2 linked regions of the Oryctolagus cuniculus genome follow. The protein of the gene in region 1 interacts with the protein of each later gene in a biochemical or structural test. Links are inferred from orthologs where the notes say so. Each region holds a gene or a part of one and is shown on either strand. Other genes may lie near its edges.

Evidence for each region.
Region 2: of the proteins of EP300 (region 1) and histone H2B type 1-B, one has a biochemical effect on the other in vitro, tested with the Homo sapiens proteins (8 studies listed by BioGRID, with this or other methods). The link is inferred for Oryctolagus cuniculus from reciprocal best matches to the Homo sapiens genes EP300 and H2BC3.

What each region holds. Positions count from the first base shown.
Region 1 is NC_091442.1:117,233,545-117,238,001, forward strand, and holds part of EP300 (histone acetyltransferase p300), read left to right. Parts: intron 1-164; coding exon 165-221; intron 222-1,465; coding exon 1,466-1,543; intron 1,544-3,193; coding exon 3,194-3,261; intron 3,262-4,062; coding exon 4,063-4,213; intron 4,214-4,334; coding exon 4,335-4,457. UniProt on the Homo sapiens protein: Functions as a histone acetyltransferase and regulates transcription via chromatin remodeling. Acetylates all four core histones in nucleosomes. Histone acetylation gives an epigenetic tag for transcriptional activation.
Region 2 is NC_091436.1:153,351,843-153,355,556, forward strand, and holds histone H2B type 1-B, read right to left. Parts: upstream 1,867-3,714; 5' UTR 1,539-1,866; coding exon 1,158-1,538; 3' UTR 1,102-1,157; downstream 1-1,101. Other genes in the region: histone H2A type 1-B, read left to right, coding at 1,867-2,259; histone H3.1, read left to right, coding at 2,889-3,299. UniProt on the Homo sapiens protein: Core component of nucleosome. Nucleosomes wrap and compact DNA into chromatin, limiting DNA accessibility to the cellular machineries which require DNA as a template.

The DNA.
Region 1 (4,457 bases):
CCTATAAGGGGAAATTATAAGTCTTAAAACAGAATATACCTGATTATGTATGCTCCTATTAGAAGATCTAAAGTGATCCATTTATAGGATGATATTTGTTCATCTTGATTAGAACCGTGATCAGAGTGCTCATTTTTCTCATTACGTCCATCTTTTTTCCTTAGTACAATAAATAAAGAACAGTTTTCAAAGAGAAAAAACGACACACTGGATCCTGAACTGTAAGTAGTTCTTTTATTGTTTTCTTTTTTTGAGATTTATTTATTTGAAAGGCAGAGTCAGAGAGAGAGATCTTTATCCACTGGTTCACTCCCCAAATGGCAGCAACAGCCAGGGTTGGGCCAGGCTGAAAGCCAGGAGCTTCTTCAGTCCTCACACATGCGTGCAGAGACCCAAGGACTTGGGTCATCCTCCATGGCTTGTTGGAAGTGGAGCATCTGGGACTTGAACCAGGTGCCCATAATGGATACCGGCATTGCAGGCATTGGCTTAACTGGGTAATGCCACGATGCTGGCCCCTGTTGTTTTCAGTGACCTAAATGCACGTAACATGTCTACCATAGCCAGCAGAAATGTGAAAGACACTCCAGTACTAAGGATGCTTGTCTACATTCAGTTAGTACTCATGTATGTTCCACTAAATTAACTTAATGTTTGGGCATTTCATGGGCCTAAGTGAAGCACCAAGTTACCTCTGCTGGCCACGATGTGTTCCAGCCCTGTTCCTTCTGCATTTTCAGGCCATAACTCATACTCCTTCAGTTTATAGTGAGACCTTTTGAAGCCTGGAGCCCTGAAAAATGCAGTACTCCTATGTGTCCTAAAAAGAGTAGGATGGCGTTGCTCATAAGTTGGTTTTTTGTTTTGTTTTTTTTGTTGTTGTTGTTGGTTTTATTTATTTTTTTTCTGACAGAGTTAGACAGAGAGAGACAGAGAGAAAGGTCTTCCTTCTGTTGGTTCATCCCCCAAAAGGCCATTATGGCTGGCGCACTGCGCCAATCCGAAGCCAGGAGCCAGGTGCTTCCTCCTGGTCTCCCATGCGGGTGCAGGGCCCAAGCACCTGGGCCATCCTCCACTGCCTCCCCAGGCCACAGCAGAGAGCTGGACTGGAAGAGGAGCAACCGGGACAGAATCCGGCGCCCCAACTGGGACTAGAACCCGGGGTGTTGGCACTGCAGGTGGAGGATTAGCCTAGTGAGCCGCGGCGCTGGCCGTTGCTCATAAGTTTTAACAGCAAGTAATCTTTCTCATCTCCTTTCCAGTCAGATTTAATGACTGAATTTTCTCTTTGCAGTTTGCTCTGCTCATAACACTAAAGAACTCTTTTAAAAGTAAAAATTTGGTTAAAACAATTTTTTCAATTCATTAGACTTTTTTACCTTAGTTATCTTTGCATCGTCAGGAATCACAGGAAACGGTTGGTTAGAGATCTGGGATTAATGCTGGAATCGCTTTGCACCTCCAGGTTCGTAGAGTGTACCGAGTGTGGAAGAAAGATGCACCAGATATGTGCCCTCCATCATGAGATCATCTGGCCAGTGGGGTGAGGCTTAGGTCTTCTTTGCAGTGACTATCATTTCTTCAACAATTACTGTCTTTAACAGTTTTTCTGTTGATTGGGAAAGGGTCGTTACAGTCCAGTTTTAACACATTAAAAGTCCTAGAATCTGAAAATAAAAAATAGATCTTTCTCTTATTTGCATGCATTCTTCAATTCATACATTTTTCTTTCTTTTTCTTTTTTTTTTTGGGGGGGGGGGCTATTGTACATCAAAAGTAAACCTGGTAGATAAGGCATCTGGAAAGTAGCAAGCAGGTATTAGATGTGATTAAATTTGGCAGATTTTGAATTTATTTGTATTACAATAGAAAAATTAGGAGGACAGGGCATCAAAGGGGACAACTCTGTTGCTACTGCAGAAAACACACACTAAGCAGTGATCAGAGTAAGGACTGTCTGCTAGTAGTGAAGACAAGAAGCTGCAGAGCTGTAGTCATGGTGTCCTGACTCTTCCTGTCCCCGAATGAGGCTTCCTGGCTGTGTTCCCAAGTCGGGGGGGCGGGGTCTGGGTCACAGTACCTCTTGGTAGGATGGAGTCACCACATTGCTTCTGTTCCTCTCCTGCTCTGATTGTTGATGTTGATTCGGTGGTCATGGGAGAGGGGAACTGACGGATTTTGTGAAAATGGCAGTAGCTACATTTCAGTTTTCAGTGAGACTTGTCTTTAAGTGCACCTTTTTAGTTAGTACTTGCCTTAATCACACACTTTATAGGAATGACTAAGATACTTCTAAGTAATTCTTACAATTTGGGATCTGATGGTTAGAGATAAACTCCTTAATTAATTTATTAAGATTGCTTTTTCTTATTCTAATACTTTAAAATTTCAGAGTAAAGGAAATAGTGAAGGTCTTGCCTTCTCCCCTCTTACTCAGATTGCCGCAAGAATAACCATGGCCAACAGTTTACAGTTTACAGACCTTTTCTATGCACATTCATAATTTTATTGTTCACATGTAATGTTCTGAATTTTTTATTCTTACCTCATAGATTATGGACATTCATATTTATTTGAGGGGCAGTGATGCCTAGAGAGCTGCCGACTACTAGTTCCCTCCCCAGATGCATGCACGGCTGCCATTTCAGTCCAGGTCCCTGAAGTGGGTGGCAGGGACTCCAGGACTTGCTGTCCTCTGCCCCTGCAGCATGAGGCTCAGCAGAGTGGGAGTGGGAAGGAGAGCTGAGAACTCGGGCACTCTCGCGGGGCAGGATCCCCAGGGCACCTTTCATGAGATGCTGCTGTACACACGTTGTAAGCAGTTGCGGGAACGGAGGGATGTGTGCACGTTGTGCACCTGTTAGTCCTGCTCTCAGTGCATCCCCGTGTCAGCACCTGTGCCCGTGTGATTGGCAGCACAGAGCTCCCATCTTCGCTTGTAATCTCTGCAATCAGTTTATTTGCCCTTCACATTTCTTCCTGTCTATTACCGTTTTCCCATTAGGTTGTCTTTTTGTTGTACTAATTTCTGAAAGTTCTATGTATATTGCGTGTGTTCCCATTTTGTTAGCTATGTAGAGAGATTTCTGCCAGGTTGTTTCTTGAATATTTTACTCAAATAGTGGGTTTTGTTACAGATGCTTCTTTAAGTGCTTCTCTGAGTTGTGTAAGCAAAGCTTGGTTTACATTTTAGATTTGTCTGTGATGGCTGCTTAAAGAAAACTGCACGAACTAGAAAAGAAAACAAGTTTTCTGCTAAAAGTAAGTTACTTTCTTACAGATAAGTCTGGCAAAGTTTCTCTGAAGCCTAGTTAAGAAACCATCCAACATGAATTATTTTAACTTTAATTATAATTATTTAGCCAGAGTTAAAATAAATCTGTGATCTACTTAGAACTGAACTGTAATGTGCTTTTTGATGTAAAATTCCTGAGACCTAAAAGCAGAAAATTATCAAAAAAAAAAAGGATTGTAAAATATACAAGACACATGTTTTTCTTACTGGGGAATTTCTCCTTGTTTCATAATAAAGGCCAGAGGTTGATAAGAATTGCCATCCCTTGAGTGTTCTATTAGCATTTATAGAGGACACCTTTAAGCCTTACCTGATGTTTTCGCTGGTGGAGAGGTCAAATTGTATTACACACATTATTGATACAGACGATCTCACTGAAGTATCAGGTTTAGTTTTCTTCATGCCTTGTAGTATTTTGTGGTTGCTCTTGATTCCTGTAATTCTCCACCATTGTTATTAAAATATCATTGTAGTCCGTGCAAAGTATATGTGGATGTTCATTGGTGTATATTTTTAACTTCCAAAATTGAAATATTTTCCAAATAAAAATTTAGAATATTGAGTACCATACCTATTGTAACAATGCAATACACCAAAAATGGAACAACACCCAAGAAGTTAACATGGCCCCTGCGCTAGTATGATATGATCGATATATACTGACTACCTTTTTGTTGTTGTTGTTTGAAAAGAGCACAGTTGCCATTTGAACCTTAAGAGTGATGTTACAGATGTGCCTCTTGGTAACTTAACTTGTCTGTTTCTAGGGTTGCCGTCTACCAGACTTGGCACCTTTCTGGAGAATCGTGTAAATGACTTTCTGAGGCGGCAAAATCACCCCGAGTCTGGAGAGGTCACTGTTAGAGTAGTTCATGCTTCTGACAAAACTGTGGAAGTCAAGCCAGGCATGAAAGCAAGGTATCTGATATTTCTCTTCTCTTCTTTCATGAATGCAGAGTTGCTTATACGTGCTTTCTTTTGGTGATTGCAATCTGAATGAGGCATGTTGTGGTTTTCCCCTCCGATCTGACTTGTATAGGTTTGTAGATAGTGGAGAGATGGCAGAATCCTTTCCATACCGAACCAAAGCCCTCTTTGCCTTTGAAGAGATTGACGGTGTTGACTTGTGTTTCTTTGGAATGCACGTTCAAGAGTATGGCTC
Region 2 (3,714 bases), on another chromosome or scaffold:
TGAAATGCATTCATCAGTATGATCATTGGAATCCCTATTAATTTAAGAAGATAATAGAGGGGCCGGTGCTGTGGTACAGCGAGTTAAAGCTGCAGCCTGCAGCACCTGCATTCCCTATGGGCATACGTTGGAATATTTTCTGGGCCAGCATTATGATTAGCAACTAGAGCCACCACCTGCAGTGCCTGCACCCCATAAAGTCAATGGTTTGAATCCCAACTGCTCCTCTTCAGATCCAGCTCTCTGCTATGACCTGGGAGAGCAGAAGATGGCCCAAGTCCTTGGGCTCCTGCACCTGTGTGGGAGACCCGGAAGAAGCTCCTGGCTTCTCAAGTAAATAAATCTTAAAAAAAAGTTATCAGAGATGAGGCATTTTGAGAATACGAATACCGGGGGGGGGGGGGGGGGGGTGTCTCAGTCCTCCAGGGCAGCTGCTGACGCTGCGGCCGGTGTTTGCAGGTTTTGTGGGGTGGGATTGCCAGGCCAGCTTCTCTTTCACACCAGCGTTTTGCGCGCCCAGACAGGCGGTGTCGGTCACAGTGGCGCGCGAACCTCTGGGAACCACTCCAGAGTCGCTCTAAAGCCACGGCACTGGCCAACCTCCGCCCCGACGCGCCCTGGCCCCTCCCCTCAGCCAGTGGCTGGCCGCGAACCAGGAAAGGCGCGGGATTCAGATCGCATCCTGACTCCAGCCAGTATCAAGGCTCCATTCTTGAGAAAAATCCGCCCCATCCAATAGGTGATCCATGGATTTCTGAAGACTCAAGGACTGCTTAGCCGACGTGATTAGTGGCTACAGGTAGGTAACAGGGAGAACTGCAGGAATTTCACTCCATTTCACTGTCGAGGAGCTGGAGATGTTAGAGGGGGCTCTTCAAAGCTCATGCGAACCCGAGTTCACGAAATGCGCATCTCCCATCACATCGCGAACCCCAGTCCCCGACCCCGACCAAAGTGCCCTAAGGTTACTCAGCGCCGACCTGCACGGGATAAACACGCGTTCTGGGGTCGTCACTAACGCCAGCCCTAACACCCGACCTAAACCCACCTCAACAGGAGCAAAATACAAGGACGTCGGCCACAGCTCTATTTGTGAAAGAGTTGGTGGCTCTGAAAAGAGCCTTTGGGGTGAGGGGCGGCGGCGCCAATTCGGGAGCTCACTTGGAGCTGGTGTACTTGGTGACAGCCTTGGTGCCCTCGGACACGGCGTGCTTGGCCAGCTCACCAGGCAGCAGCAGGCGCACGGCCGTCTGGATCTCGCGCGACGTGATGGTCGAGCGCTTGTTGTAGTGCGCCAGGCGCGAGGCCTCGCCGGCGATGCGCTCGAAGATGTCGTTGACGAACGAGTTCATGATGCCCATGGCCTTGGACGAGATGCCGGTGTCGGGGTGCACCTGCTTGAGCACCTTGTACACGTAGATGGAGTAACTCTCCTTGCGACTGCGCTTGCGCTTCTTGCCATCCTTCTTCTGCGCCTTTGTTATCGCCTTCTTGGAGCCCTTTTTGGGGGCGGGAGCGGATTTGGAGGGTTCAGGCATTGCTTTTAATATTGGCTGAGAGACTAAAACAGACTCAGTCTACAGCTGATTAGTGATGACAGGCCGGAGTGCATATATTTATAGTCCCGTAATTCAAATGAGGGTTTGAGACTTCTCACTTCTGATTGGACAACAAAGAAATTTTCTCTAGGGGGGTTGTTTATGCAAATAAGGTATCCGGGTTGTCTTTTCCTATTGGGCAGAAAAGGCGAACCTATTTCGACCAATAGGATGACGTACTGTAGTAGCCCTGCGCTGCTTATAAAAGCACAGTCTTGGCGGGTATGGTTTTCTTTACTTCAGATTGCGAAGCGTGTTTGGCTGTACCATGTCTGGGCGTGGCAAGCAAGGCGGCAAGGCGCGCGCCAAGGCCAAGACCCGCTCCTCCCGGGCCGGGCTCCAGTTCCCCGTGGGTCGCGTGCACCGCCTGCTGCGCAAGGGCAACTACTCGGAACGCGTGGGCGCCGGCGCCCCAGTGTACCTGGCGGCCGTGCTCGAGTACCTGACGGCCGAGATCCTGGAGCTGGCGGGCAACGCGGCGCGCGACAACAAGAAGACGCGCATCATCCCGCGCCACCTGCAGCTGGCCATCCGCAACGACGAGGAGCTCAACAAGCTGCTGGGCCGCGTCACCATCGCGCAGGGCGGCGTGCTGCCCAACATCCAGGCCGTGCTGCTGCCCAAGAAGACCGAGAGCCACCACAAGGCCAAGGGCAAGTGAAACCACAGTAAAGACGACGCAACTCTCGCTTTGAAATACCCAAAGGCTCTTTTCAGGGCCATCCACTGTTTCACAAAAAAGCTGCTAACCCTGACTGGAATTAGTCCTTCCCATGGTGATAGCGTTAGCGCTTAAGAAAACTGTGGAAACAAGTGAAACGTGTATTTATTGTGACGGATGAAAGGCCACACAGTGACGGGGGGTGTGTCAGTCGGGAAATAGCCCCCGAGGTGCAGCTGTTTCAAACGTAAAACGCGTTTTGCCTTAAGTCAGGGCACCTTTCCGTGGCTCAGTGTTTATCGGGCGCTATTAGACGGCAGGCCCAGGTAATTAGGGATTTCGGGGTCCACGCTAGGGCCTGTTACTGAGGTAATCTCCCTCCACGGTTAGGTACGCTTCTGAGATGGAATGATCCAGATGTTAGAAAACGTCTACCATCCCAAACGGACAGTGGATGAATCCGGCCAATCAGGTTGTCTGAGTGGACCAATCATCGAAGTTCCTCCTTTAGCCAATGAGTTTGTCGCGCGGATTTTTTGAAAATCCGGAAGCCAATCACAGTAGTCCTAACGATATTTAAAGGCAGCTCTGTCGCCGCAGACAAGAAGTTTGAGTCCCACCGGCGCGAGATGGCTCGTACTAAGCAGACAGCGCGCAAGTCAACAGGCGGCAAGGCGCCGCGCAAGCAGCTGGCCACCAAGGCGGCCCGCAAGAGCGCGCCGGCCACGGGCGGCGTCAAGAAGCCGCACCGCTACCGGCCCGGCACGGTGGCGCTGCGCGAGATCCGGCGCTACCAGAAGTCCACCGAGCTGCTCATCCGCAAGCTGCCCTTCCAGCGCCTGGTGCGCGAGATCGCGCAGGACTTCAAGACGGACCTGCGCTTCCAGAGCTCGGCCGTCATGGCGCTGCAGGAGGCCTGCGAGGCCTACCTCGTCGGCCTCTTCGAGGACACCAACCTCTGCGCCATCCACGCCAAGCGCGTCACCATCATGCCCAAAGACATCCAGCTGGCGCGCCGCATCCGCGGGGAGCGGGCGTGAATCCTGTAAGCTTATCGGATTCCAAAAAGGCTCTTTTCAGAGCCACCCACAAACTCACTTGAAAGAAGTTGTAATGACGTCTGGGTGAGGAGTGTCTCTGGGCTTCGTTTCTTGGAGTTTGTAAGGGTGAGGTGGGCTATCAGTGTGCACACGGCTTCAACTTGGGTCAAAGGTTCTTCAGCTGTTTTCAGTGCAGTTAATTACACGTAAATTTGTGAGAAGTTTAGTTTGTCCAAATGTTCAATTCAGTTTCTCATAATTATTTCAGGGATAAGTTTTTATCCAGTGCGTGAGTGTCGAGTTTCTAGGGTTAAAATATTTTGGACACAAATTTAACTTGAACAGAAAGTGGAAGCCAAGGAAATTGTGGCTCATTGCTCATGAGGTTTTTTGTGCTTTATCATCTAATTCTTAC